6 linked regions of the Daphnia pulex genome follow. The protein of the gene in region 1 purifies or fractionates together with the protein of each later gene. This does not show direct contact. Links are inferred from orthologs where the notes say so. Each region holds a gene or a part of one and is shown in the gene's direction. Other genes may lie near its edges.

Evidence for each region.
Region 2: the proteins of coatomer subunit epsilon-like (region 1) and coatomer subunit delta-like purify together in Homo sapiens (affinity purification with mass spectrometry; 4 studies listed by BioGRID and IntAct, with this or other methods). This does not show direct contact. The link is inferred for Daphnia pulex from reciprocal best matches to the Homo sapiens genes COPE and ARCN1.
Region 3: the proteins of coatomer subunit epsilon-like (region 1) and coatomer subunit zeta-1-like purify together in Homo sapiens (affinity purification with mass spectrometry; 3 studies listed by BioGRID and IntAct, with this or other methods). This does not show direct contact. The link is inferred for Daphnia pulex from reciprocal best matches to the Homo sapiens genes COPE and COPZ1.
Region 4: the proteins of coatomer subunit epsilon-like (region 1) and coatomer subunit beta-like purify together in Homo sapiens (affinity purification with mass spectrometry; 6 studies listed by BioGRID and IntAct, with this or other methods). This does not show direct contact. The link is inferred for Daphnia pulex from reciprocal best matches to the Homo sapiens genes COPE and COPB1.
Region 5: the proteins of coatomer subunit epsilon-like (region 1) and coatomer subunit beta'-like purify together in Homo sapiens (affinity purification with mass spectrometry; 4 studies listed by BioGRID and IntAct, with this or other methods). This does not show direct contact. The link is inferred for Daphnia pulex from reciprocal best matches to the Homo sapiens genes COPE and COPB2.
Region 6: the proteins of coatomer subunit epsilon-like (region 1) and phosphatidylinositol-3-phosphatase SAC1-like purify together in Homo sapiens (affinity purification with mass spectrometry; 4 studies listed by BioGRID and IntAct, with this or other methods). This does not show direct contact. The link is inferred for Daphnia pulex from reciprocal best matches to the Homo sapiens genes COPE and SACM1L.

What each region holds. Positions count from the first base shown.
Region 1 is NC_060018.1:6,870,534-6,874,856, forward strand, and holds coatomer subunit epsilon-like, read left to right. Parts: upstream 1-2,014; 5' UTR 2,015-2,169; coding exon 2,170-2,271; intron 2,272-2,332; coding exon 2,333-2,496; intron 2,497-2,557; coding exon 2,558-2,710; intron 2,711-2,769; coding exon 2,770-2,905; intron 2,906-2,966; coding exon 2,967-3,314; 3' UTR 3,315-3,363; downstream 3,364-4,323. Other genes in the region: RNA exonuclease 4-like, read left to right, coding at 1-171; ciliogenesis and planar polarity effector 2-like, read right to left, coding at 807-1,118, 1,189-1,457, 1,518-1,641; uncharacterized protein LOC124208207, read right to left, coding at 3,752-3,862, 3,924-4,016, 4,086-4,323. UniProt on the Homo sapiens protein: The coatomer is a cytosolic protein complex that binds to dilysine motifs and reversibly associates with Golgi non-clathrin-coated vesicles, which further mediate biosynthetic protein transport from the ER, via the Golgi up to the trans Golgi network.
Region 2 is NC_060022.1:6,328,367-6,333,333, forward strand, and holds the start of coatomer subunit delta-like, read left to right. Parts: upstream 1-1,792; 5' UTR 1,793-1,927; coding exon 1,928-1,930; intron 1,931-2,380; coding exon 2,381-2,420; intron 2,421-2,489; coding exon 2,490-2,725; intron 2,726-2,781; coding exon 2,782-2,961; intron 2,962-3,023; coding exon 3,024-3,208; intron 3,209-3,276; coding exon 3,277-3,459; intron 3,460-3,522; coding exon 3,523-3,652; intron 3,653-3,717; coding exon 3,718-3,901; intron 3,902-3,961; coding exon 3,962-4,073; intron 4,074-4,133; coding exon 4,134-4,338; intron 4,339-4,400; coding exon 4,401-4,490; 3' UTR 4,491-4,967. Other genes in the region: uncharacterized protein LOC124195439, read right to left, coding at 90-92. UniProt on the Homo sapiens protein: Component of the coatomer, a cytosolic protein complex that binds to dilysine motifs and reversibly associates with Golgi non-clathrin-coated vesicles, which further mediate biosynthetic protein transport from the ER, via the Golgi up to the trans Golgi network.
Region 3 is NC_060024.1:1,294,408-1,298,848, reverse strand, and holds coatomer subunit zeta-1-like, read left to right. Parts: upstream 1-2,161; 5' UTR 2,162-2,351; coding exon 2,352-2,543; intron 2,544-2,632; coding exon 2,633-2,878; intron 2,879-2,943; coding exon 2,944-3,077; intron 3,078-3,152; coding exon 3,153-3,243; intron 3,244-3,442; coding exon 3,443-3,490; 3' UTR 3,491-3,599; downstream 3,600-4,441. UniProt on the Homo sapiens protein: The coatomer is a cytosolic protein complex that binds to dilysine motifs and reversibly associates with Golgi non-clathrin-coated vesicles, which further mediate biosynthetic protein transport from the ER, via the Golgi up to the trans Golgi network.
Region 4 is NC_060020.1:2,117,882-2,122,984, reverse strand, and holds the start of coatomer subunit beta-like, read left to right. Parts: upstream 1-1,547; 5' UTR 1,548-1,699; intron 1,700-1,854; coding exon 1,855-2,235; intron 2,236-2,299; coding exon 2,300-2,560; intron 2,561-2,623; coding exon 2,624-2,816; intron 2,817-2,886; coding exon 2,887-3,005; intron 3,006-3,063; coding exon 3,064-3,192; intron 3,193-3,256; coding exon 3,257-3,519; intron 3,520-3,591; coding exon 3,592-3,903; intron 3,904-3,966; coding exon 3,967-4,189; intron 4,190-4,249; coding exon 4,250-4,762; intron 4,763-4,838; coding exon 4,839-5,080; intron 5,081-5,103. Other genes in the region: uncharacterized protein LOC124192347, read right to left, coding at 234-300. UniProt on the Homo sapiens protein: The coatomer is a cytosolic protein complex that binds to dilysine motifs and reversibly associates with Golgi non-clathrin-coated vesicles, which further mediate biosynthetic protein transport from the ER, via the Golgi up to the trans Golgi network.
Region 5 is NC_060017.1:7,291,771-7,296,893, forward strand, and holds the start of coatomer subunit beta'-like, read left to right. Parts: upstream 1-1,867; 5' UTR 1,868-2,032; coding exon 2,033-2,035; intron 2,036-2,106; coding exon 2,107-2,265; intron 2,266-2,327; coding exon 2,328-2,405; intron 2,406-2,473; coding exon 2,474-2,588; intron 2,589-2,649; coding exon 2,650-2,798; intron 2,799-2,867; coding exon 2,868-3,124; intron 3,125-3,186; coding exon 3,187-3,519; intron 3,520-3,582; coding exon 3,583-3,782; intron 3,783-3,849; coding exon 3,850-4,091; intron 4,092-4,152; coding exon 4,153-4,295; intron 4,296-4,371; coding exon 4,372-4,814; intron 4,815-4,873; coding exon 4,874-5,123. Other genes in the region: uncharacterized protein LOC124197376, read right to left, coding at 1-151, 214-480, 543-762, 841-915. UniProt on the Homo sapiens protein: The coatomer is a cytosolic protein complex that binds to dilysine motifs and reversibly associates with Golgi non-clathrin-coated vesicles, which further mediate biosynthetic protein transport from the ER, via the Golgi up to the trans Golgi network.
Region 6 is NC_060026.1:14,680,320-14,685,254, reverse strand, and holds phosphatidylinositol-3-phosphatase SAC1-like, read left to right. Parts: upstream 1-1,715; 5' UTR 1,716-1,850; coding exon 1,851-1,876; intron 1,877-1,967; coding exon 1,968-2,268; intron 2,269-2,338; coding exon 2,339-2,470; intron 2,471-2,540; coding exon 2,541-2,652; intron 2,653-2,732; coding exon 2,733-2,920; intron 2,921-2,975; coding exon 2,976-3,131; intron 3,132-3,190; coding exon 3,191-3,270; intron 3,271-3,339; coding exon 3,340-3,577; intron 3,578-3,653; coding exon 3,654-3,890; intron 3,891-3,969; coding exon 3,970-4,056; intron 4,057-4,128; coding exon 4,129-4,189; intron 4,190-4,251; coding exon 4,252-4,400; 3' UTR 4,401-4,576; downstream 4,577-4,935. Other genes in the region: casein kinase II subunit alpha, read left to right, coding at 84-167, 789-835; protein SAND-like, read right to left, coding at 4,718-4,771, 4,839-4,925.

The sequences.
Region 1 (4,323 bases):
GATGCTCAAGCTGCGTTACGTTTATATACGATGTTTCATCAGCAATGGGAAGCAGATTTGGTTTCCAGGAGGTCAGAGAGAAAGTCCAAGATCATCAAAGGGAAAAAATCAACTAAGGAAACCCTGAAGACTAAGGAAACTGTCCAATCAAAGGAAAGCATTAAAAAGTAATCACTATCGCTACTTTCTGTCTGGTGATTTGAGGATCATACAATATCTTGACACTTCTAAATTTTGCCAATCATGTTCTACATCCGATGAAGTACTGATGCGGTCAGTTAACAAATTTACGTTGGAACTAATACAGACTTCTTTGGATTTCAAACAAAACTTTCTGATTTCTGAATCTTCAACATGGAAACTCCCAATTGCACCGAAATCCCGGGGACACTTTAGAATCAATATTCAGAAAGAAACTTTAATAACTAAAAACTCGCTATACCGATTTGCCGATTGACTATAGAAGTAGAACTTGCAAAAGGTGGCCAAGTCGATATAGAGAATAATTTTTTTGTGTGTGTCGTAAACACCACGAAATACACTTGGTAAAAATTTAAAATACACTTGGACAAAAATTTTAATTTTGCGCCAAATTTGAAACCTGCAAAATTGGGTGGTTTTGCTTTCGTTTGTTCGTGAATGTATCTTTGAATCAGATTCCTTCTGTCGTAGCTGAACAGTTTTCACTTATTGAATATAGAAATGTATTAATCAAATATAAAATTTATGTAAGTAATACTAGGCATTTAAGTTACAATCTAAAACAACAATCTTGAAAACTTGGACAGACCATTTAATATTTTAGATTAAAGAGTATCTGACATAACTTTATGTTGAGAAGAATATACAAAATCACACAAGGAATTATAGAATGGTGCAAAGTATTTAATATCTAGAGTATGAGGAGGAAGATGAAAAAATGGGAGCCTTCTTCTTCTTGCATACTGGCTTAGTTCTTGATCATGAACCTGAACGTCGTGTTCAGTATCCATTACAAATAACACTACAGTAGAATTTAGCCGAGACAAAGAGTCAAGTTTACTATCGGCATAGTCCAAAGATGTTCGATCAGCTCTATTTATTACTATGGCCACTGCATCAGTTTTTTCCATGCATGCCTGAAAAAAGAAAAAAATGACAAAACAATTCAATATTTGAAGTTGATATCATGATATGTGTTTTTCTTACTGTTGAAATGTAGTTATATCTTTTTGAACATGATTCTCCTGATTCCCAAAACTGTAATTTAAACAAGCAGGTTTTTGCTTGTATTTGTGCTGGCCAATAAATATTTTTTACATGAATTCCTATAGTTTCTATGTATCCTGGAAAAACTGCTGGTTTCCCAGATAAAACTGAAATGGTTTTTGTTTTCCCACTTCCTGCTTTGCCCAGTACACCTATTTTGAACATAATTTCTGGGGTTCCTGGTGTAACATTCGGATGTTCTAATATTCCTATACCAATAAAATGAAATTGATACATTTAATGGAGATATGCATTAAACCATTAATTACCAAAATGCTTTCGAACTTTCGTATTTATTGGGTGGTAAAGTTGTTGTACAATTCTTTCTCCTTCGACTGTTTTGTACCAATCTGGATCAACATGCTTCAAAGAAGTTGTAGTTGTACTCTCCATTGCAAACGTTCAGATTGAATAAATTTTCCTATAACACTTGAACACTTAATAGAAAAACCATAAAAAAAATACCACTGGCATGTGCATAGTGTTACAACAAGAGCGATCTGATATAAATATGCGGTTTTTGTTATTGTAGATATCTACTTCTCAACTTCTGTCAGAGTGCTTCTGTTTTGTTTTGACAGTTGCTAAATGCGTAAGCAGTGTTGCCGGTTTATGAAAATGAGTAACTTAATAAAATTTAAATTCCAAAAAAACTAATTACTTTGATTCTGAAACAAATTAAAATTTGAATGCAACGAAAATTCAATTTAAAAAATAAATACCGAACATGAATAGGCCTTGATAACGGAAAAGTCTTCCGAGTCTTCTACTGGTCTTCTACTACTTAGAGGCAACTGTGTAAGGGTTTGACACGTCAAAAGACGACTGCAACAGCAAGAAATTAAAGTGAATTTTTTTCAATTGTCAATTCGACAGCAGCCTTAATATTGGATATTAGATCTTAATTTCTATCAAAGTGAAATGCCGGAACAGCAGGGAGAAACCGATGAGCTTTTTGAAGTTAAAACACAATTTTATATTGGAAATTATCAGTCTGCTATCAATGAAGCTCAGAAGCTGAAGGTACATTATCTTGTTTTTCAAATTCATATTGATTTCCTTAACATATTTAAATTACTTCCAGTTAAATAACCCTGTTCTGAAGCTTGAACGTGACGTATTTGTCTATCGAGCCTATATTGCTCTAAAGAAATATGGTGTTGTCATCAATGAAATACATGGAGCCTCTCCACAAGAACTTCAGCCATTGAAACAATTGGCAGAGTATTTTTCTCAGCCTAGTAAGAGGTAATTTTTGTTATTTCTATGTAATAAGTTTCAAGTTAATGAAATATTACAATATTTGCAGGGAATCTATTGTTCTAAAACTTGATCAACAAGTTTCAGGAAATCTAGATGTAAACAACTATGTCTTTCTTCTTGTTGCTGCTTCAATTTACTACAATGAAAGTAGTTATGAAACTGCCCTTAAAGTACTGCATCAGTCAGACCACTTAGAATGGTATTGTAAATTAATTTGACTTCTATTTTTGGTTTTTCATATTATTTTCTCTGTACTAGTCGGGCTCTTATGCTGCAAACACAGTTAAGAATGGATCGTTTGGATCTTGCAAGAAAGGAATTGAAAACCATGCAAGAAATTGATGATGATGCTATTTTGACACAGCTTGCTTCTGCCTGGGTCAATCTTGCAACAGTATGTAGTTGTATTTGTGAATAATGGGTGAATGATTACATTGAATTTTTTCTTTAATAAGGGTGGTGAAAAGCTGCAAGAAGCATACTATACATTCCAAGAGCTGGCTGACAAGAATGCTCCAACTGCATTGTTGTTGAATGGTCAGGCTACTTGCTGTATTGGTCAAAGTAAATATGAAGAAGCTGAGTCTGCCCTTCAAGATGCTCTAGAAAAAGATTCAAATAACACAGATACACTAGTGAATCTTGTTGTGCTCAGCCAGCTATCAAGCAAGACGCCAGAAGTCTGTAATCGCTATTTGAGTCAGTTGATTGATTCTGCTCCCGAACATCCTTTTGTCATTGAGTTCCAAAATAAAGAAAGAGATTTTGATTTGCTTGCTAAGCAGTACGCTCTGCCAGCTTAAATATGTTGAAATGTTGATTTTTGATGATAATACAAGAATATCCAGTTCATTATTCTTTATTTTAATTTTACAAATCGGATTCACCAATCAGAAAGGTTAAACGACTTCACTAGATTTCTAGAAGGACATACAAGCATACAGCAATGTTAGTAGAAGCAAAGCAAACAGACTAGGGCTAGTTAATTTTTTAAACCATTCAAAAACAAAACAGCACATTTTTCACACCGCACCATTTTTCTACCTTGACATCAATTTTCTTGAAAGACTAGAGTTCCAAAAAAAAATCTTGTTGATTTGGAACTTCTACTTCTGGATAGCATTAGAAGACGTAACCACGAACATTTGTACAATTTTATCAGTTCTTAAAAGAGATAAGGTAGCGACGAGATAAGTCGTTGTTTCCCAGATTAGGTTCTGGTAAGGCACATGGCGATGTTCTAAGCTACATGGCCATGTACACGAAACCGATAAAGGCACGTATAATTCAAGTTGCCATAGTTAGAGTGAATCCGTAGTTCAACAATAGAGAACGCTCCTGGTTCATGCGCCTACAGAAACAATAATTGTTCTTAACATCTAGTTAAAACTGTGTAGAAGAAATGAACATACCTGAACTGGAAAGCTTTGCAACGGCACGCCAAGATTGTCAAAAGTATACTGACCAAGTACCACGCCAGCGATGTCCACTTCCCTTGTAAGGCCCTAATAATACATTTAAACATTTTTTTGTTAAACAAATCAATAAATAAAGGCTTTGCTAATATTAATTACATAGACGGTGAAATTTCGTGGAGCAGAATCGATTTGACCATCGGGCGCCAAACTTCGAGGTATATGCTCTAGAGTGAAAGCCGTTGGGACGATTTTCCTTGAAAGCTGGATCACCAGATATCCGTCGAAGCCACGGAAAGACCAGCACTGCCCTGGAACAATTCCAGGTTGAATGACAACCCGAGGATTGTTCGGTTCACTCCATAACGAAAAACCCCATATTGAGAGTCGGGGCCGG
Region 2 (4,967 bases), on another chromosome or scaffold:
CTTAATTACATATTCTAACGAAGAATTTAGCCCGATTCTTAACACGAATCACATCGAAGAAATACTCAAATGAAAAAGTAGAAACTTACCATGATTCAAGTTGACCGGATAAATGATCAGAGCTCAGTCACGTGTGTATGGCCGGCGCGTGCGAGAAAGATTTAACGAGTCGTTGCACCACCACCTTCAAAGTCTCAGAATCAACTGTTCAGAAAAAAAGCAGAGAGGTCGATCCTTTTCGAGCCGATATCCCATCCACCGATTTCCCCAGGTCTTTTCCTCTCCATTCCTCTTTTCCGTTGGGCCAATCATGGGCGACCAGCAATTTTGAAAAACACTGCGGTCTCTTATGGCAACTCTGTGGGGCTTTGATTTCATTCAAAATTAATTAAGTTAAGCTATTTATAATTCGGAAATTCAAATACATGTTAACTGTAGTCGCGAGATGTTGCGCTTTGAATCGTTAATTACAAGGAATCTGCATTGCATTAATTCATTTTGATTTTTACAATAGTATTCGTTTCCATTTATTTTAAATGCATTCTTCTGGTATCGGAATGGATCAAAATGAACTCGTTCTACTGCTCCTATATCGTGATTTGGAGGGGATAATAAAATACTTTTTCTTTCTCCGAGATGTAGAAGTGTCTAGAGAAAAAAAAATCTGAGTTGCGTAGCTCCTCCTCCTCCAGGGGGAGGAGAAGTCTCTACCACACTCCGTTAGGACGAATGTGACGTGATCTGGTGATCATAATGACACTCGATTGCGTGATCGCAAATCTTAACTGTCGCCTGTCGGACACTCGATGGGTTGAATAAATGAATACAAATAAATCTAATTCATTTCTGTTAACCAGATAAGAATTTTCAATACAATCAGTAGTTTTTATATCCTCTAATTGTATTTAATGTAAAACAGGTACCTTATAATTATTAATTAATGCCCAATCTTTCAGAAATTTAAACAAGAAAATCTGAATCATTTTATTTATTTCATGTCGCTTCTAAGCTATAAGAAACAAAATTTATTGAAAAAAAACGTGACACGATACAACAAAAAAGTTCTAGTCGATTTCGGAGACTCATTTTCGTTGCAAAAGCACTTTCTGTTTCTGTTATTTAGCTCTTGTGGGCATTTTACCAAAATCGCCAAATATAGAATAATGGTTGAAATGGGTTGGCCTGCACATACAGCGAATAAATCCTCTCACTATTTTCCCATTATCATGTTAAGATCCTTTCACAATAGTTCACCGTAGTTTTCGTCATGGGTTCAGCAATCAGGTAATCATAAAGTAAACAATGACAGCCTCAGACTTATACGGAGAAAGTGGTTGCATGCTACAAATTCGACAGATAGACGCAAATTCGTTAACCAACTAAATTCGTTAACCAACTAAATTCGTTTTCGTTAACTTGAACATTTTATTCGGATTATTTTTCGAGTAGCATTAAACAGAAAATACATTAAAAAAAATCCTTTTTGTGTGGACTGGAGTTGAGTAAAAAGGAGTAGTTATGAGATCATTTTCGAGACTTGCCTTGACTAGTTGTTTTGAGTCGTTTTGCCGAATTTCTGATGTCACATGCGAATATGCGATCTTGCCGAACTCAATCGAACATTTTACCCATCATAATGTTGTTTCCTTTGTTTTACTTTGAAAGCAATAACTCAGTGAAACACGCAGAAAATTATGATGCATTCGAATACCAAAATATTTACCGCCAGACATCAATCAGCCATTGCCAGAAACGGGCCCTTGCTTCAGTTTTATTTATTTTTCAATTTGAAAATGGCAACCCTGGAAAAACAGTTGACGATCCACGTCATCTTGTGCCGTCAGTTCTTAGGATCTTGAATCCTCCCTGAAAAGTTGTGGTAAAAGGGGTCCGATAAAGTCTTTAGGAGCCTTTAATCTGCGCAATAATGGTATGATCAACGAACCTAAGTGTTTTTAATTTTATGAAAATATTTACTATGGGCGTTGTTGAAGTTGTCATTGGGGTTGCACAACCGGCCCATCTGACATTTGGCTAAACTTTCGTCTACGTGGATATTTTATTATGATTTCTTCAATAGTGCTTTACATCATCAAAATAACTTAAAACATTTCAATCATATAACTATGATTAACTTTGATTGTTAGGACATGCATTCTAGTATACCAGACTACTTCGGAAAGCTAGCAATACATTTTGATTTCTGAAAGATTGTGTGCTGTATCTTTAGCAACAGTAGCCTAGAAAACATGGGCTTTTAATATCGTTGAAGCAATACCAAGTTGCCAATGTTATTTCGCAACAAAAAATATGTTTGTTGTCATTTCTGTGATTTTGTTCCACTTGTGACACTTGTTCATTAATTTTCATTATTATTCAGGTTCTCATTGCAGCTGCTGTTTGCACCAAGGGTGGAAAAGGTGTGTTGCAAAGTTTTACAAAAATGATGCATAAAATAATAGAAATGACTTTTTTTTTCTCAATTACAGCCTTGGTGTCAAGACAGTTTGTGGAGATGACCAAATCCAGAATAGAAGGTCTCTTAGCTGCCTTTCCTAAACTAATGTCTTCAGGAAAAGCTGCTCAACAACAACACACTTTTGTTGAAACAGAATCGGTTAGATATGTTTATCAACCTTTAGACAAAGTGTATGTATTACTTATCACAACGAGGGCATCCAATATCTTGGAGGATTTAGAAACTTTACGTCTTTTCGCTCGTGTGGTAATAATTTATAAGATCTTCTCATTAGTAGGTTTGCTAACATTAAATTCATGTAGGTACCTGAATATTGCCGCACTTTTGAAGAATCCGAAATCCGGGAAAATGCCTTCAATTTGATATTTGCCTTTGACGAAATCGTTGCTCTTGGCTATCGCGAAAACGTTAATTTGGCTCAAATTCGAACATTTGTCGAAATGGATTCACACGAAGAGAAAGTCTACCAGGCTGTTAGACAGGTTTGGATTTTCTCATTTAAGTAGTTGTTTGGTCTTATTTCACTATTTTTTTCCCCATAAAGACACAAGAACGAGATGCCAAGATGAAAATGCGAGAGAAAGCCAAAGAATTGCAGAGACAGCGAGTTGAATCTAATAAAAGGGGCATCAAGTCTCCCATTTCATCTTCTGGAGGTTACGGGCCATCTCCCATGGCTGCTTCGATTCCGACTGAGCCTCCTAAGCCAACTTATCAACCAGCTGTTGTGTAAGTGAATTCGCTAATTATTTTTCCGCTCAACTAGTTCTTAACTGACAGCGTGGTACTTTTCTTAGAAAACCTAATGGCCCGAGCAAAGCCCTCAAGCTTGGGGGCCGTCTGAAGGACGCCGAAATATTTGTTGACCAACTAAAATCAGAAGGCGAGAATGTAAACTCGTTCCAGTCCCCCGCTTCCGTAGTCCAAGGTGGTTCTGTGAGCTCAAACAAACTGCCGCCATCAACCATCGCTACCGAACCGTAATTTACAATACCTCAATGCTTATTAAAATTTAACGCTTGACTGTAATTTCTTTTATCCAGAGTCCAACTTCGAATAGAAGAAAAGCTTAGCCTCAGTTGTGGACGTGACGGTGGATTACACAACATGGAAATTCATGGCTTACTAACACTTTTTATTACTGATGAGACTTACGGTCGAGTCCGCGTACAGGTAAAATGATTTCCTTTGCATTGTGTTTATTTTCTTTTTTCAAAATTCGACTGATTTATCCATAGGTGGAGAACAGAGATAGTCGCGGAATTCAAATTCAAACTCATCCTAACGTTGACAAGGAACTATTTCGCACTAAGCAGCACATTGCATTGAAGAATGCCACAAAACCGTTCCCATTGAATACGGATGTTGGTGTACTTAAGTGGCGTTTCCAAACACAAGACGAAAATATGATTCCACTGAACAGTAATTCATCATCTTAATTACGTTGTCTGGCAAAATTTAATGATTTAAAAAAAATTATAGTTAATTGCTGGCCAGCTGAAAACGGACGTGGAGGCTGTGACGTTAATATTGAATTCGAACTTCAAGATGATCGATTAGAGCTGAACGACGTTGTCATTGTCATTCCGTTGCCGTAAGACTTTTTTCTATTAGGCTCTAGGTGCAACTCATCATCTTTCGTTTATTCGTGTAGTCATGGTTGCGGAGCACCGAATGTTTCCGAGTGTGAAGGAGAGTATCAGTATGAACCAAGGAAAAATCAGCTTTCGTGGCAACTCCCCGTTGTGGACTCTTCCAATAAAAGTGGAGCTATGGAGTTTTCATGTCAGGGCCATGCGAATGACTTCTTCCCAATCAATGTCAACTTCTATTCGAAGCGCTCCTATGCTGAAATATCGGTACGGTTGCAATCTGTGTTTATTTATTCCATTTGTCTACAATTTTCCCATTTTCGTTGTAGGTAAATGATGTCGTACTAGTAGATGACGGCACATCGGTGAAGTATGCGGCCGATTCCAATTTTTTTACGGAGAAGTACGAAATCCTTTGAATGTTTTGCTTCTGAAATCCGTGGAAGTAGCAAAGTGTTCGTGATTTTGCCAGTTGCCCCTCACCCCCTGTCGTTAGCGTCAACACAAACAAACTGATGAACTCCTTGACTGTCAACTGGAGGAGAGGGGTGAGGAATGAGAAAGACTTTAGGTTACCATCTGTGGTTAATATTTAATGCCAACGTGCAGTTCGTTTTTCCCGTCTCTGAATCGATTCAACCTCCTCAAATTCACCCTTTTTTCTCCCACCTTTCATAACAAAGCAATTTAAAGCGCTGAAGTTTGTTGAGCCGCCCAGTAAATATGATATATTGAAATCTAAAAGTTTTTTCTTCCTTTTTTTCTACGTGCATATATCTTTGAATCAGCAGCGGCACTCATGTTTGGGCGTGTTTTCTTTTCTCTTTTCTTTCATCTCTTTTTCTTTCTCCGTTTGTTTATGTTTTCGATCAGTTAAGAGTTCAGAAAACTCTTAT
Region 3 (4,441 bases), on another chromosome or scaffold:
TGTTGATATAGAAATTAACACGTGAACCTGTTTGCTGCAAAGAACGCTTTGTATTGCTACTCGCCTAGCCACAATCGTCAACAGCACTGAGTCCCCCTCTCTTATTCCTTTGTCTGGGTAGGTCCTTCTCCCCCTCTCTTCTTTCCTGGCTATCCTGCGTTGCCGCACTGTCCAGTTTGTTTATCTTTTATACTCAACACCTCCCCTCAAACTGGACCCCCAAAAATAAACATGAGCACAGAATACACAGCATATTTGAATCAGACATAAATACTAGGTTCAGTGTCACAAGACAAATAATAAGAAAAGAAATATCAGCCTCCTTTAACTCTTCAGTTACACCTCCCCTACACCCCGAACGCCAATCTTGTCACGGAGATACTTGAAGCGTGGAGCAGCCAGGGGTTTCGTGAGTGCATCGGCCAGTTGCTCCTGGGAGCTTACATAGTTTATCATCTCTTCTGTCATGTCGATCGTAACGCTTCCTTTTTCTGTCCGCTTCTTCTCCTTCTCTCTCACGCCGGCGTTTGTATTGACGGCATTGAGCTCTAACATGCGTAGTGGAGTTGCACTCCCAGCATGTTCTCGGTATACCAGCATGTTGACTGGAAGGGTGGCTTTTTCCTTTGTTCTGACCGTACTGGGCAGGAAGTGCTTGCTCTTTGTGCTGTGATTCATCTCTGTTCGGCTTACTGAGATAGGCAGTATCAGATGTCGATTTTGCTTCTTCGTCGTTGCGCAGGCTCTTGTCCAATGCTATAAGGCGAGTAGTCAGTTTCTTGAGAGTTTTCTCTGCAACAGGCGTGCTGTCCCATGCAAAGGCAAAAACACGGAACTCTGGAGGAAGCGACATGAGTATCTTTGCCATTATTTGATTATCATCAATAGCTATGTTGAGGCTCTTCAGACGGAATGCTATCTGTTCCAACTCAGTCAGGAAGCTTGATACACTTTGGCTTGGTCGAAATGTGCATCCATAGAACTTTGTCCACAATAGAGGTGCATTGTCTGCGGCATCTTCTTCATACTCAGTCTCCAATTTCATCCACATCTCTTGGGCTGTGCTACAAGACATCAGGATCCTTGATTGGTCTTCTTTGATGGCGCCAAATATGTTCTGCATTGCCGTGGTATTTCTCTTGTTCCAGTTGGTTATATCAGCTGCATTTTCAATCACCTGGTCAGCATTGCGTCTCTGATTGTGGTAACAAAACGAGAAGATGGTTAGGTTTGTGATATCCATGGCAGCCTCACATTATCTCAATGTGGAATCTCCCTCACATCATCTCGATGTGGAATACCTCTCACATTATCTCAATGTGGAATCTCCCTCACATCATCTCGATGTGGAATACCTCTCACATTATCTCAATGTGGAATCTCCCTCACATCATCTCGATGTGGAAAAACACTCAGCTGTCTCCTAGATGCTTGCAACTCTAGCACACACTTGTCCACCATCATATGATGGAATTTAGCCAGAGTGACCAAACAGATTGAGAAAGAAACACAAAAAAAGAGAAATGTCCAGCAAACACAAACACACAAAAAACAAAATCAAGTGGCAGAGATTAAGCACTCACGCCGGGATCTAAGTTTGTCAATTTAATAGTTGGTACCACGCCACAGATAGGCATCTCATATCGCGTTGTTGTCAGGCACGGATCACACACATAAAGAAAACAATAAATCATCAATAAACTTACTTCAGCAGGTTGCCGTTGAGTCCCGTTCACGACTTCCCAAAGCTCAACACTTTGTAACGCCAGCTTCATTCCAAATTTCCAAGACGCGTAGTTTTTCCCATTCAGACACCATACAACATGGCGGCGGCCATCTTTCTCCATCACTCCAGAAAAGAATTTCTAATTTCTTGGGAACAGTTAGCCGGGGACACACACAAAAAAAATAATTGTTCAGACAGAGTAGCTGTTAGCTGTGCGTACAGCTGGGCCCATAACCTGTTGATATAGAAATTAACACGTGAACCTGTTTGCTGCAAAGAACGCTTTGTATTGCTACTCGCCTAGCCACAATCGTCAACAGCACTGAGTCCCCCTCTCTTATTCCTTTGTCTGGGTAGGTCCTTCTCCCCCTCTCTTCTTTCCTGGCTATCCTGCGTTGCCGCACTGTCCAGTTTGTTTATCTTTTATACTCAACAAGCAGTTCCTAGATGGCGCTAACGACTGGCCCTTTTGCTTTTTCCCGTATCTTTTAAAACAAAAATAGATTTATCTCGTTAATGGTTTGTGATCAGTATAGGAAATTTATAAAATTTATAAGTTAATTTTTTTAATGGTTAATATAATTTTCTTACCGACATAAGAATCGTACTCTAGTTGAAGTACTCCATGGCGATACTACGCGAAAGAAACTGCCAACGTAGCATACAGGACTACCGGTTGTCAAGTAAGAACAACTCATCAACATCTCGAACGGAACATTTTCATTCACCCGTCTGTACAACGGTTCATCTTATTTCTCTTAGCTCTTGTGTTGTGGTGTATTGCATATTGTATAAAGAAATGGATAACCATGTCCTGGTAATATAGCTACTTCTAGTACTACATTTTCTTTAATCAGCTGTGTCAGACCAACAACAAAATGATACATTTTTATAAAATTTCTTTAGGAACCTTCTCTGTATGTAATTAAAGGAATTGCAATCCTTGACAATGATGGTAAACGTATTCTTGCAAAGTACTATGACCCAAACACATTACCCACTGCAAAAGAACAGAAGGTTTTTGAAAAAAACCTATTCAACAAAACACACCGAGCTAACACGGAAATCATTATGCTAGAAAACATGACTTGTGTCTACAAAAGCAATGTGGATCTTTATTTTTATGTCATGGGAAGTAGCCATGAAAATGAGGTAAAAGATGCTCACAAGTTGTTCACAAAATATTAGTAAATTGGAATTTTTTTCCCCTTATTTAGTTGATCTTGGTTAGTGTTTTAAACTGCTTGTATGATTCCATCAGCCAAATACTTAGAAAGAATGTGGAAAAGCGTTCTCTAATGGAAAATCTTGATGTGGTTATGCTTGCTTTGGATGAAATATGTGATTCTGGGTATGGTTTCCATTCAAACATGTAATCATGACAAGTTTATCAAGATACTATTACCAGTTTACTATTGTGTTGCAGGATTATTCTGGAATCAGATCCCACTGCTATATCATACAGAGTAGCTCTTCGGAATGATGACATTCCAATTGGGGAGCAGACAGTGGCCCAGGTATGTTTGATAACTTAACTACTTAATCAGATATTTAAATAAGGTTTTTTTCAATTTAATTAAATTTAAAATTGAAATTAGTTTGAAATTTTCATTTTCCAGCAGCTACTTCTAAACTAAACAATATACATTTTAAAAATTACTATAATTAAGGGAGAAGATCAATAAATTCTTTAATTATTTCCGTCTGATTTTTTAGGTGCTTCAATCGGCAAAGGAGCAGCTAAAATGGTCTCTTCTGAAATAAGGATCTAAACTATTTCAACCACAATAAATTCCGGTCGTTGAATCATCCTTATCATTATTTTTCTCCTTTTCCAAGTTGTTCTATAAAAAAAATACAAATCTGTTCTGTTGATGCCATCTTTATCAAAATAGCAGATAAATAATTAAAATCAATCCACCGTATTAGAAATTAAATTTTTTGTAACTTGTAACACGCATTATATAACCTGATGGTGTGCTTGGTATTTTACAGCGATCTTTAAAAGATTGTTTTCATTCATCAAAGAATAGTTTGCCTTTTTCTGACATTTACTTCGGGTTTACAAACGAATGAAAGCACAAAAGAAATTTGTTTCTATCACAACAGAGATGTGAATTTCCAATATTTTTCAGGTTGCACTGTAATTTAGGTGAAATGTTCTTGGTTTTAATTCGGATAGAACGTTATTCTCTTACAGTACAGCTTAAGTACAGCATTACACCAACTAAAGTTTGCCAGTTCATTTCGAAGTTATTGATAACGTCAATCTTTCGTCGATTAAAAGGTAAAAAAAAAAAAAAAAAAAAAAACGTTTCACTCGTCGTGTCTTTATAACGATATTGAATTCCAGGCTTGGACAGAGCGCATCAGTTTTTCGCTCCGTTGATCTATCAGCGATAAGCGGTGATTTAATCGACCCAATTGAAAAGGATCGGTAACGAATCGTTGTGTTTTTTTTTTTTTGTTTTTTTTTGGTCGAGTTCCAGAATTTTCTACCAACAACTTCGAAGTTCGACAATCCAAAATGATCCTTTAGCCTTGCGTTTCCCTTATCTTCGTTGAGTTTATAACATACAGCGCGATCATATTCAAATAGCCACAAAGAAAGGAAAAGGCGGTAAAATTCGACAAAAATAGAAATCAAATGATAACGCAATAACTTCATATTAAAGTGGATTGCTCTGTGCCTAGTTAATCGATTATTGATAGCAG
Region 4 (5,103 bases), on another chromosome or scaffold:
TGTTTGTTGCTTGATGAACAAACTTAAGTTAAATTTACAGTTAAAAACTCAACCAAAGTGTTTTTTAACTGAAATTATTTTCAGTTAACGCCCTTTGATGGTAAGGGGCAAGGCACTTGGAAGCGATAGCAATACAATAACAGTTATCAGAAAACTTAGCGTGAGAGTTTCCGAGTAAGGTTATTTGAAGGGTAAAATTACGACATTAACGGACTTTTCAGTGAATTCCTTACCTTCACTGAAATGTGACAAAACAGGCGATACAAACAAAAAAACTAAAAATAGAAGGAACAATCGCATGATGAACTCTCAACAGCGAATGACGACACCCCAATTAAAAATGAACTCGAAAATCAGAAAGTCTTGTATACTGGCCGATGACTTGGAGCCGTCTGTTCACTAACAGCAGTTGTCTTTCTTTATAGCTAGCTGTAACATCATGCTCTGTGGTGCCTGTGAGGAAAAAATCAAATGTCTTTCCGATTGCCGGTGGCGTCAAAAGAAGAAGACCCTAGTTTCCCTCTTACGGGAAAGCGTGATGTTTATCTATCGTGAGGATGGCCTCATTCTACCCACACGCTTTTTTTAAATATAAGATAATTTCTTTTACGTTGAAAATATAACATGTTTGCATTATAAAACGTTTTTTAAAAATTTAAAGATATTTTACTTGAATACTTGAACTTTTTTTAGATGGAAGGCCTACCAACACAAAAAAAACAAATTTTAAGGAAAGATCATCGTAGACGCAACAATGATAGTCGCGGAAATTTCCATGATTCCTTTTGCTCAATGCCTCAGTTAGTTTAAAACGATGAAAATAAATAATAAATGAAAAGTATCCTGAACAAACATAATTACATTTGATGCTAATAACATAAAACATAAATATTTAATATCGATTAGCTATAGGCTACAGTGAGCCGAGCGAACCAACGAAGTAACGACCATATTAAACGTATTAAAGCTGGTAACTACGAAATAGAGATATAACGGCCAGTACCTTCGGATGCTAATCGTTTCCAATTCTAATTTTCTGTGATTAATGGCAAGACGATTAATATGCAATCTGCATATTGTGAAGCAGTGAAGGTATGGAGATTGTGGCCATCTGCACATTCTATTTCGAACGAACATTTCTATTATCAAATAACTAAGAACAAATTGTATCGTCTCTTAAAGGCTTTGCCGATTAAATGGACGAAAAATTCTAACTAACTCCCATCAAAATACCTTTACACATTGAAAACAAACTGACCATTGCCGAAGATGGAGACGTGACTGGTGCTGGTCTTCAAACCTGCTTCAAACGTGTCGAAGAAGTTCACAGTGGTTCAGAGAAACATGGGTGACGATGACTAGGCAGTTGACACATTGTTTATCCGGGAAACCCACAAAAACTCTTGTTTTGATGGTACAGAGAGAGAGTATGCCTGGAAAATCTGGAAACCAACACAAGCTGGGACTGAATATCTATTTTGAATAAAAATAACAAAAAAACAACGTCAAAATTAAAACTCATAATGGCAACATGGCTGCGTGGTTGTCAATTTTACGAATTAAGATCTGTCGCTTACCGACTGACGTGGGTATTTTCTGACATTCTGCAACGTCAAAGGTTTCGTGAATTTCCTTCGTTTCATATAGTTACGGCTCACACAGAAAACACAACAAGCCGTTGTAATACAAAGAAATCAAGGCAAGTCATCCGACATTTTGGAATCGTTATTCAGTGTTCAACAAATACCATCGTTATAGATTTCGAATGGGTTGCGGGTCGCTGTCACAATAACATTTCATCGAGCGTAAACCGGTCCAAGTTTTCACGATTCATGTATTGTTTTGTTTTTACAGATGTCTGTGACTGAGCAACCTTGTTATACCCTCATCAGTACTCCAGATTCTGACTATCCACCTCCAGATCAGCTGCGAAAAGAGTTGGAAATTGGAGATATCAAAGCCAAGATTGATGCTTTAAAAAAGGCCATTTACATAATTTTAAATGGAGAAAAGATTCCAGGAATCCTCATGGCAGTGGTCAAATTTGTGCTGCCACTTCAGGATCATAATGTCAAGAAACTTCTGTTGATATTCTGGGAAATCATTCCAAAGACTTCAGCAGATGGAAAACTCTTGCATGAAATGATTCTCGTCTGTGATGCTTACAGGAGAGATTTGCAACATCCAAATGAATTTATTAGAGGATCAACATTACGTTTTCTTTGCAAGCTTAAGGTAAGCCAATTTCTTTTATACCTTAATTTATTGATAAGCTAATCTTTTGTAATTTACTTTTTAGGAACCTGAAATCTTAGAACCGTTGATGCCATCGATCAGGTCGTGTTTGGAGCACCGACATTCTTACGTTCGACGCAATGCTGTTTTGGCAATTTACACAATTTACCGCAATTTTGATTTCCTCATTCCTGACGGGCCAGAATTGATTGCCAATTTTCTAGAACGTGAACAGGACATGTCCTGTAAACGTAATGCATTCATGATGTTGATTCACGCTGACCAAGAAAGGGCGCTCTCCTATCTTACCTCTTGCATCGATCAAGTAATAGAACTATTTTAAGGTTTCCAATTTCCAAACAAACTTAAGGAAAACAAAATCTGTTAGGTTCACTCCTTCGGTGATATTCTGCAATTGGTCATCGTTGAACTTATCTACAAAGTGTGTCACGCCAATCCTAGTGAGCGATCGCGTTTCATTCGTTGTATCTACAGTCTCTTGAATGCCACCAGTCCGGCCGTTCGCTACGAAGCTGCTGGCACTCTAGTAACCTTATCGTCCGCACCGTCGGCTATTAAAGGTATTATTCATATTCACTAATATTTAATTTGGGTTTCCAACTTAATATGTTTTCTCTTCTTCTTGAACAGCTGCTGCTAGTTGCTACATCGAAATTATCTTAAAGGAAAGCGACAATAATGTGAAGTTGATTGTGCTGGATCGTTTGATCGCCTTGAAAGAGCAGCCGAATCAAGAACGTGTCTTGCAGGTATCTTGAATTTAATCATTCACATGTTACAAAATATTAATTATGTAATTCATTTCAGGAATTGGTGATGGACATCTTGCGGGTATTGGCTACTCCAGATTTGGAAGTACGAAAGAAGACACTATCCCTTATACTTGATTTAGTGTCTTCGCGAAACATAGAAGATATCGTGCTCGTTTTGAAAAAGGTAAGAATTCCGGTGAAATGGTAAATCGATAGGAATAATTTTCTATTGATGAATTATCTTGTAGGAGGTAACAAAGACGCACAACACAACCGAGCATGAAGATACGGGAAAGTATCGGCAACTTTTGGTGCGCACTCTTCACTCGTGTTGCATCAAGTTTCCTGACATTTCTGCGACCGTCATCCCTGTACTGACTGAATTCCTTTCCGACACCAACGAGCTAGCAGCCGCCGATGTTTTGGTCTTTGTTCGCGAAGCGATTCAGAAGTTCGAAGGACTTCGTCCATTAATCATCGAAAAACTTTTAGAAGCCTTTCTTTCCATCAAGTAAGTTTAAATAACTCCATTTCGTTTTTACTGGCAGCAATTCTACATTAGATGTTTTTTTTTTTTTCAAAGATCCGTCAAGGTGCACCGTGCAGCAATTTGGATCTTGGGCGAATACGCCACTTCGGCTGATGACATTCGTTCAGTTATGTCCAAAGTGCGACAATCGCTTGGCGAAATTCCAATCGTGGATGACGAAATCCGAAAAGCAGCAGGAGAGCAGACCGATCCGGAAAATCCTTTAGCACAGGGAACTGGGAGCGTTACTAATCCTGTTGCTTCTAGCGCCCGCTTGGTAACTGCAGATGGTACATACGCTACGCAGTCTATCTTCAGTGCTGCCGTAACAACCGCCAAAAAAGAAGAAAGGCCTCCTCTTCGAAAGTATGTCAATTCTGTTGATGTCGTTCCATTTAGCATTGCATTCATAATTAAATTTCTTTGTAGATATCTGATGGAAGGCGATTTCTTCATTGGTGCATCAATGGCTACAACTATGACAAAGCTGGCCTTACGTTTTGTTCAACAAGTGTCGAACCCGCAAACGCAAAACCAGTTTTGTGCCGAAGCCATGCTAGTGATTGCAGCGATTCTTCATTTGGGTCGTTCGGGACTGCCTCAGAAACCAATTAGCAATGACGATGCTGAAAGATTGGGGCTTTGCCTTAAGGTAAGTTATCAATGGTAAAAAATGAGTGAACCCCCATTACAATTTTCTTTTTCGACATAGGTGCTCTCGGATCGATCACCGATTTTAGTAGAAGTATTTACCGATGCCTGCCGTAGATCCATTTCACTTATGTTAGCTGCCAAAGCTGAGGAAGAAGCTGCTGCCCAAAAGAACTTAGAAAAGAACAGCCGATCAATCCAAGCCGACGACTTGGTCTCTTTCAAGCAACTGCTTTCACGCAATGAACTTGGTGGCCTCGAAGACGTATTTGAATCAAGTTTGTCGCAAGCTTTGGTAGGATCCGCTCAGCGAACTGGATTAGATCTGAGCGTCTCAAAACTGAACAAGGTGACGCAGTTGACTGGTTTCTCTGATCCTGTATACGCCGAAGCGTACGTAAACGTGAACCAATACGACATCGTACTTGATGTTTTGATTGTCAATCAAACGGCTGACACCCTTCAAAACTGCACGTTGGAATTGGCAACTCTCGGTGATCTGAAACTGGTAGAAAAGCCTTCGGCTATCATTTTGGCTCCGCACGATTTCGCCAACATTAAGGCCAGCGTTAAGGTATGCTCTTTTTAATTATTACTAAATGAATTATTACTAATTGTTTTTCATGCCTGTATTTATCCATTAATTAAAGGTGGCATCGACGGAGAATGGTATTATCTTTGGAAATATAGTCTATGATGTTACTGGCTCGACATCGGACCGTAACGTCGTGGTACTGAATGACATTCACATTGATATCATGGACTATATCATGCCTGCCAGCTGCACTGATGCTGAATTCCGACAGATGTGGGCTGATTTCGAATGGGAGAACAAAGTCACCGTCAATACTAATATCAACGATCTAAATCTTTATTTGCAACATCTGCTCAAGTAAGTGGGATCATTTCTTTTGT
Region 5 (5,123 bases), on another chromosome or scaffold:
AAAGCCTCAGAAATGAATTTTTTGTGTGAATGTGATTTGCATTTTGCATTCTCTTTCTCTGGATTAACTTCCAGAGCAAATCTGGGCACACTCTTCTTCACTAATACTGCTGGAAGCTGGACAGGTTTTAAGTTTTCAACTTTTTGTTCTTCTGTGAACAATATAGAGCACATTAAAATCATTTTTTTTTCTTTTTACTTGAATAAGAATCACCTTTTTCTTCATTTAATGGAGTAGCTACTTCATTAGAATATATTTCTGATGACTCACTAGATTGTTCTTTAAAGTACTGTAACACTGTAGAATCTGAGCTCTTTGAAGACTCGGAAATTAATTTGTTGACTGAATTAGGTGAGTTCTTTGTTAACAAATATTGAGCATCAATTTTTTGCTTTGCTGGAATAGCTTTCACAACTAATGTAGGCACAGTTTTCTTCACTGATATTACTGAAGGCTCATCAGATTTTAAGTTTTCTTGTTCTGTGAATAATAATATGGCACAATATTAAATTTTGTTTTGTACTCTTAAAATGTTATCTTACCTTGGTTTTCATTCAATGAAGTAGCCACTTCATTAGAATATGTTTCTGATGACTCACTAGACTGTTCTTCAAAGTGCTGTATCACTTTTTTAACCGAGCCTTTCGAAGCCCCAGCAGACTCTTTATTCTCTTCAGCTGCTAGTTCCAGCACAGTATTAATCCTTGTCGAACTATTATCCAAATAAGATCGAAAATCCACGTCTTTTTTGTCTTCTTGGTACTAGAGTAGTATGTATAAATCGCAAGAGTTAGAATCAGGTCTGCATAGCTCTTTGAAGAGAATTTGACATTAAAATACCTTAGTGAAGAAGGAACTCCAAAAATTATCTCTTTCTTGTAAAATTCCTTCCCAGCATTTTTTCAATCTGTCCATCGTGTTGGATTGTCATTTCATAGTTTCGAAATTATTGATCCATTATTTCAACAAGTAGGCCACTCTCTTAACACCAACAAGAACATAGCATCCGACGCTTTCGAGTTTTGAATTCACCTTTGCAACTTAATTTCGTCTGCTATAACTTTTGCAACAGTGTTTATCTGACAATTAGGTGATGATTGAAAATTTGAAACATATTATTCCAGAATATATGGATGAAGGAAAAATGTGGTGTATTATTCACAATTGTATCATCAAAATTAAAAATAAGAATCAAAAGACCCCAAGTAATTCCCTGAGGATTGCTTGTTTCAGGCAATCAAGAAAAATGAATTGCAAAAATTTTCAGCAGTTAATTCATTATCTTGATCCAATCTTTAAAACTGGATTTTTTTTGTATGACATGTAATCATCATATTTGAAGAATGAAATTTCAGTTTCATGTCTTACATCACTCTCCTTGAGTGTCCTTTCCGCTTTAAGGATGAGACCTTCATCATTCTCGTGGTTAATGACAGGATCATTTGTTTTAGCTCCATGTGCATGGTGCTCAATCTGTAGAAAACCATAGAAAAAACAACAAATACATAAAAATAGCAGTAAGATGTTATTCAAATAACCTTCAAAGTGTCATATTCGTATTTTCGAAAAGGTGGTGGCAGTCCCGGAGCAACACCCAACTCTTGAATTATTCTAGTTTTCAACTCTTCAGTTGTAAGGGAAAGTGGTACATTCTTTAAAACCACATTGCGAATGTTTCGATATTCAAACGACCGGATGACTCGAATAATGATCGTGGCTGTCTCCATTGATAAATTGTGCGGGGCAGTTTGTTTTGAACTGATGTGATGTTGCCACTGTCGAAATAGTTTAACAAATTTTGAATTATTACAGGGTACGCTTAAAATGTATAGAATAAATAGCTCATAATAGTTTTGAAAATTACACTCCCGACGAGGTCACACAATATTAGTAAAAGCTGATAGAAAAGAAGCAATTTAGTATTTTGGCTAATGATTCTATCTGGCAATGTTTATTTGTGCTCCACTCCTCCCCCAGTGATGACAGATCAACCGGCCACGTAGTAGAACTATTCAACAATCCTCACAACAAAATGGTTTAACATTAATACTACTTGTTTAAATCATAACAATTATTGAGCTAATTTCATGTTATAATTTTTTATAGCCGCTGAAACTAGATATCAAGAGAAGGCTTACCGCCCGTTCGGATCGCGTGAAAAGTGTCGACTTGCATCCAACAGAGCCATGGATGTTGGCCTCCTTGTATAATGGAAATGTGCATATTTGGAACCATGAATCACAACAAATCATCAAATCTTTTGAGGTAAAATGAGTACTTCATTGAATTCTTCCTTAATGACTTGACCATTACTTGCCCTTTTGTAGGTTTGTGACCTGCCTGTTCGTGCTGTCAAGTTTGTCCCAAGGAAAAACTGGGTTGTTAGTGGTTCTGATGATATGCAGGTATAGTTTTCTTGATGTCTTATCCATTTCAGATTAGATATAGTTTAATCCTCTTTAAATTGTTCCAGGTCAGAGTGTTCAACTACAACACACTTGATCGTGTGACAGCATTTGAAGCTCATTCAGACTATGTTCGTTGCATTGCTGTGCACCCCACTCAACCCTTTCTATTAACTAGCAGTGGTATGTAAATAATCTGTTTTTCTAACAGATTCAGTGTTCATACAGTCTTTCTTCATTTTAGATGATATGTCAATTAAGTTGTGGAATTGGGAAAAGAACTGGGCATGCCAACAAGTCTTTGAGGGTCACACCCATTATGTTATGCAGATTGTCATCAATCCAAAAGATAACAATACATTTGCTACTGCATCTCTTGATAGAACAGTCAAGGTATGTTTTTACGAAAATATTTTGCCAGAAATTTAACTTAAAATCAATTTATTACGGTCCCTCATTCAGGTCTGGCAGTTGGGCTCGAACACACCGAATTTCACTCTTGAAGGCCACGAGAAAGGAGTAAATTGCGTCGACTATTACCACGCCGGCGACAAACCTTACTTAATTTCAGGTGCAGATGATCGGCTTGTTAAAATTTGGGATTACCAGAATAAAACCTGCGTCCAAACTTTGGAAGGGCATGCACAGAATATTTCTTCTGTTGCCTTCCACCCCGAACTTCCAATTCTGCTTACTGGATCTGAAGATGGAACAGTCAGGTAAATTTATTATTCTCTTTATTTATTTTTTAGTCAAGTATACTATTTTCTCTAAATCGTAGAGTATGGCATTCAAATACCTACCGGTTGGAGACTACTCTCAATTATGGGCTGGAGCGTGTCTGGACCATTTGTTGTTTGCCTGGGTCTAATAACATCGCTTTGGGCTACGATGAAGGATCTATCATGATTAAATTGGGCCGAGAGGAACCTGCAATGTCCATGGATCAAAGCGGTAAAATTATCTGGGCCAAACATTCAGAGATCCAGCAGGCCAATCTCAAAGCGCTGCCGGACTCGGAGATCAAGGATGGAGAACGTCTTCCTCTTGCCATCAAGGATATGGGTGCATGCGAGATTTACCCTCAAACTGTCGCTCACAATCCAAACGGAAGGTATGTTTGCTAACTGCTCATGGCATAGAAACCAGTAAATAATAAAATTCCGTTTCATAATAGATTCGTCGTTGTTTGTGGTGACGGCGAGTACATCATCTATACAGCTATGGCTCTGCGAAACAAAGCTTTCGGTTCAGCTTTGGAGTTTGTGTGGGCAGTGGACTCATCCGAGTATGCTGTTCGTGAAAGTGCCACGTCGGTCAAAGTTTTTAAGAACTTCAAGGAAAAGAAACAATTCAAACCAGAGCTGGGAGCCGAAGGTATATTGTGCATAGTAATTGAAAACAGAATGAAATATTGATTCTAATTAAAATTTTACATTCACAGGAATCTTTGGTGGAGCAATGCTTGGGGTCCGGTCTACCAACAGCTTAGCTTTTTACGAATGGGACAATCTGACACTGATTCGTCGGATTGAGATCCAGCCACGTGGTGTGTATTGGTCGGAAAATGGTGAATTAGTTTGCATTTCTACCGAAGACAGCTATTTTGTTTTGCGTTATGATGCTGATGCCGTGGCCAAAAGCCTTGAAACCAAAGAAGGCTTGACCGACGATGCCGGAATTGAGGTGATTTTATTTAAAGACAAAGTGTTAGTACATTTTTAAAAAATATTTTCTGAATGTTTAGACGGCGTTCGAAATGTTATCTGAAGTGCAAGAAAGTGTTAAGACGGGACTTTGGGTGGGCGATTGCTTTATCTACACCAACAGTGCCAACCGATTAAATTATTACGTCGGTGGGGAAATTGTCACAGTGGCCCATCTCGACAGGTATGGCTTGAAAGTTCACCATTCTTGCAATAATCAAACCGATACTATTAAACCCATGTGTAACTTTTGTTTCCAGAGTGATGTACTTGTTGGGCTACATTCCCAAGGACAACAGTCTTTACTTGGGCGACAAGGAGCTAAATGTAGTTTCCTACGGCCTGCAACTCTCGGTGCTTGAATATCAAACCGCAGTTATGCGACGAGACTTCGAAACAGCTGACCGAGTGCTCCCGTCGGTTCCCAAAGAGCAACGCACTCGAGTGGCTCATTTTCTTGAGAAGCAGGGATTCAAAGAACAGGCATTGGCAGTCTCCGCTGATCCTGAGCATCGCTTCGAACTGTCACTTCAGCTTGGTCAATTGCAACTGGCCTACCAACTAGCCTGCGAGGCTCAGAGTGAGCACAAGTGGAAACAACTTGCTGATCTGGCCACAACCAAATGTCAGTTTGAGTTGGCTCAAGAGTGTCTTCACAAGGCACAGGATTTCGGAGGACTCCTACTTTTGGCTACAGCATCCGGTATGTCATTTTACATTGTTTCGTCCTTTGTTCAGATAGTTAATATGTTGAATGTTCAGGTAATGCCGAAATGGTGCAGCGATTAGGCGATGACGCAATTGGAGCTGGCATGAACAACGTTGCCTTTTTGACGCGCTTCCTGAGTGGCGATTTGAACGCTTGCCTTGAGATCTTGATCAACACCCAACGCATTCCCGAGGCTGCCTTCTTTGCTCGCACTTATCTGCCTAGCCAAATCTCGCGCGTGGTCCAGCTCTGGAAGCTCAGTCTTAGCCAGGTCAATGCAAAAGCTAGCCAAAGCCTGGCTGA
Region 6 (4,935 bases), on another chromosome or scaffold:
GAATATTTATTTGGTGGTGTTATCAGTAAACTTTGAGCTAGTTGACATTTTCTTGTAATATTTACTTTTTGAATCGTACGTAGACCCCATTGTGAAAGAACAGAATCGACTGGCAAGTTTGTCAACCTCTCCGACACTCTTACCACCTGGAACGTCGGTAGGAGGCGGTGAGTAAACCATTGTAATCCACCGGTTAGGGAGGGAGACTGCGAAGGGAATAATGACAACAAATGTTCAGTCCGAAACCAGCTACGAAAACCCTTCCACTATTATCCTCTTTCGCTACGTTCATAGTCCCTGTCCACACCTGTTTATGTTGACACCTCTACTTACAAGTTCAACACGGCAACATGTGGGGCAGCCACATCTCCCATCCCATCCCTCCTTTTTTGTCCAATACAAATCATCAACCCATTTGCCCTTTATCTAATCTAACGAGAGTGGAAATGACAAATATCTTGCAAGGGAACGCCATTTCTCTGGAAGTGTATCTTTGATTTTGTCCCTTCTTCATCCTCTCCTTCTCCCCGCCTCTATACACACAGTTCTTAGGTCATGCTCCTTAATTTTTTTTTTTTTCACTTTCAATACATTGTCATTTCATTCACTTTCACGTTCAAGTGTATCAGTGGCCGTCAATACACATGTTCCTTGCAACGTATAAACTAATGTCATTTTCATTCTCGTAAAGAATTCGATGAAGCGTAATTTGGAAGAAGTCTGTTATAACCCATGATGAAAGGCAAATTATAACAGTTGGTAATATGTTTGAATTTTTCTATGAGCAGGTACAAGTGGCGGAGCAGGACCAAGCGGAGGTGGACCTTCACAGTAGAATTCACCGAGAGACAATTGCCGTGTAGTTGGCTGGGGAAAAAAACGATTGTACCTGTCAACTAATAGTGACGTGGAATTGGGAGTGGAAGAGGTGTTAGTGAAGAGACGATTTTGTTTCCCTTAACACCATGAAAAGAAGTGAATGGAGCTAAAAAAATAATAATAAATTTAAGTACCATCTTATTACATTACTGTACGTAAAGACGGTTTTCACATGAACTGCATCCTGGCCGGTTGATAAGAAACGCCAAAAGCAACTGCTGTTTAAACACGTGTACAGTCTCTATACTTTTTTGTGGTGTTCTTTTCCCTATGTTTAAAGATTCTGTCTTCTCCTGTTCATCCTTTTACTTCCCACCACCACCACCATACCATGTCATGTGTACTGCATGAAACCTAATATTTGAACATTTTTTGTCTGGGTAACGATGAGTGCCACAAAAGTTCGTCCTCCCGTAATCCGCTCCTTAATATTAAGCGTTCCCCCTTTTATCATCACCGGAACTGAACGAGATCCGCATCTCTCTCTTGCTTGTATTCAAATATTTGGCATTTTTGTCGTATTCTGATGAAATTCGTCTCATTTCCATAATTCCTCAAGTCCATGAACATTGTAAGTTAGCGAGAGGGATGCTTAAAATTACGTTTTCTACTACTAAACAGCTTTGGCTTGGAAGTCCTTGCCAATTATAGATAATTTTGGGTTCGAGTTTTAAAAGGGATGTAGTGTCTAATCGTATATTGTGTAATAAGTAATCGTCAATACAATCTTCAGTTTCGCAAATCAGTGATTCTATTTTCTATTAAATTTTTAATGAACGCCATCTATTGGTCGTGTAAAATGAAATTAGATATTCCCTTCCCTACCGGTAAAACCTGTCTCGTCTTGACAGAAGACCAGAGCAGACTAGTAATCAGTCCCAGTTATCGGCAGTGGAGCTTTAATTTGCAAGTTTAGAGGTTCGCTCAAAAGTGGTGACTGCCAATTTCAAAGAAACTTCAAAGTCTTCAATATGGATGTATATGATAGCTTAATACTGTAAGTGGTTAATTATTTTATGTATCAAGTGTTTCAAATTTTCAATGGGGTTTTATTTAATTGATAATTCATCACGATTATTTGTTATCAGGCACGAAACTTCCGATCAGTTTTTTATTGAACCCAGTCAAAATCCAACAAACATTCTGGTCATTGATAGACTCAACCATGAATTTAGTTTAGTTGATGGTAGAAAACATGTCCCTAGTACTGCAAAGAGCAGATCAATTTTTGGAATTGTTGGAACCATTCGTCTTCTCGCTGGCCCCTATCTGGTTGTCATCACAAAATGTTCAAAGGCTGGAATGGTTAATGGTCAAGACATCTGGAAAGTTGATGAAACTGAAATCATACCGTTTGCCAGAACTATTTTACATCTCAATGAAGAACAAGTAAAATTTTGTCACCTTTAGATTAACATTCATTCAATTTGAAATAATCATATTCAACTTTTGATCTTAGCTTGCAGATAATAAAGTGTACACAGCAATGATTGAGCATGTCCTCAATATTCCACACTTGTACTTCTCATATACATATGATTTAACACATTCCCTGCAAAGGCTGCACAACACTATGCCAGAATTTTTACAGGTTAGTCAAATTCAGCATGAACAGCTGAAAAAAGTTCTCTATTAATTTATGTGTTGTGTTTAATTTTCAGATACCATTACATGAAAGAGCTGATGAAAGATTTGTTTGGAATCGTCATCTTATTCGTGATCTGGTCAGTCAGCCGGAGATGGCAAAGTTTGTTTTACCTGTAATGCTAGGATGTGAGTTGACTTTCTATTCCCGCTAAAAAAACTGTGTTAATTTTTCCCAGCTAGTTTCTAACATTACCGTTTTAAAACAGTTGTTCAGACCCATCACGTTACAGTTAACCGGAAGAAATTACTCTACACGCTTATTTCACGGCGATGCTGTTACAGAGCTGGTACTCGATTTTTCATGAGGGGCGTAGATCAGGAGGGTCAAGTGGCCAACTACGTTGAAACCGAACAAATTATCGAATATCAAGGCGACAAATGCTCTTTTATTCAGGTAACAAGTTTTGTTATTGTGTTCTTGTGCGTTACTAAAACTTTATCCACTTTAGACTAGGGGATCTATTCCAATCTTTTGGTCTCAATTGCCCACCCTGAAATACAAACCGAAACCCGAAGCGGTACAAGGCGCTAATCATCTGGAGGGACTTTCCAGACATTTCGATTTCCAAGTTTTGAATTATGGGAAACAAGTTATCCTAAACTTGGTAAGTAATTATAGTAAATTTCATTGCATCACTATTTTTTAACATTTCTTCACATTAAGATTGATCAAAAAGGAGCAGAAGGGAAACTAGAAAAAGCCTTTTCAGATGTAATCAACAGCTTTCGAAGCCCATTTGTAAAGTAAGCCAATCTTATCACAGCACTACTAGTTAAATTTGCATTCAACGTCGACATTTTATTGCTTATTAGATATGAAGCTTTTGATTTTCATCACGAGTGTAGAAAAATGCGCTACGATCGATTGAGTATTCTTCTCGACCGCGTCAGCGCTGAACAAGAGGAATATGTATATTTCATGCTGCTTAAAGATGGAACAGTAGTTCGCCAGCAAGACGGTGTTTTCCGAACGAATTGCATTGATTGCTTGGACAGAACCAACGTCTTACAGAGTCTCTTAGCCCGACGAAACCTTCAACAAGTGTTCATGGTATTTCTATCTTAAATAATTAGAGACTCCAGACTATAAAAAAAAAATGTCTTGTGCAATCTTGAATTAATTTCAGAAATTCGGCATTTTAAGTGAAGGCCAGCGCGTTGAAGATCAGCAAGATTTTGAAAGTCTATTCAAGAATATTTGGGCCGATCACGCTGACGTCATTTCGACTCAGTATTCGGGTACAGGAGCCTTAAAAACTGATTTTACTCGCCTTGGAAAAAGGACCAAAGCTGGCTTGCTTCGTGATGGAGTCAATTCGCTCGTCCGCTACTACAAGAATAATTTCGCTGATGGTTTTCGACAAGTACATTTCTTTTTCTTCGAATTTATCTCATTTGGTTGACCTTTCTGTGTCTTTTGACAATCTTTTATTACCTCTGCAGGATGCCATCGACCTCTTTCTTGGTAATTATGTAGTTGAAGAGGGCAGACTTGCACCCCGTATCGATCGTGGTTGGAAATATTTACTGGTTCGTATTACTATGTTTTCCTTTCACTTCTTTTTTTTTTTACTATGTGGAATGTTGTTATTTTTCGTCTAGCTTCCCGGAATCTGGTGTATCGCGGCCACTATGGTATTTGTAACCGTCTTGCTCCCGAGTGGTAAATAATTTATTAAAAGATTTCATTAATAGAAACATATTAAATTTTTTTTTTCTTCTTAGAACTGAGCACCGAAAGCCTTTTGTATCTTCTTTTTTGGTCGGGCATGGCAGTAGCATCTTCTTATTTTATCGTGGTCAATGGCCCCGAATTTGTTGACTGGCCAAAGCTAGTTCGCAGAAATCAAATACCCAAACAGCTGGAATTGTAGAGTTTAATCATTTACAAGTTGGCGATATTTCACTAAAAATTTTCTCTTCCTATCACTTGTTTTAAGCCCTTACCCTTTTTTCCTGCAATTGGCTACTAAGTGTCCCCACACATCTCTTGGTTGGATAGTTCTTTAAAGATATATTGTAGAACTTCAATAAAAAATTCTACAAAAGATTCGTTTTCTCATTTGCAGTTATAATGTATCACAAATGGAATGAATATTAACACAACCATAACAGATAAATCTGGAAGTCTAAATATATCATGATGCATGAAAAACGAAGGTGAATGTAAAGGAAGGCTGCATTCGGTACTTTACCAACTTCCTGAAGTAGTGATGAAGTGGATTTCTTCTTCACGCTTACTCCACTAAAGGGGAACATAATAACAATCAACCTATAAATGTGGATTCAGTACATCGGAGCCATTCAATTACCTTAAGTATAGCATTGGCCGCGTTCATTATTGCCGCTTTTGTCGTCATCGGCTCTACGACCATATATAGTTCATAAGTAGGAGTAACCTGATAAGAT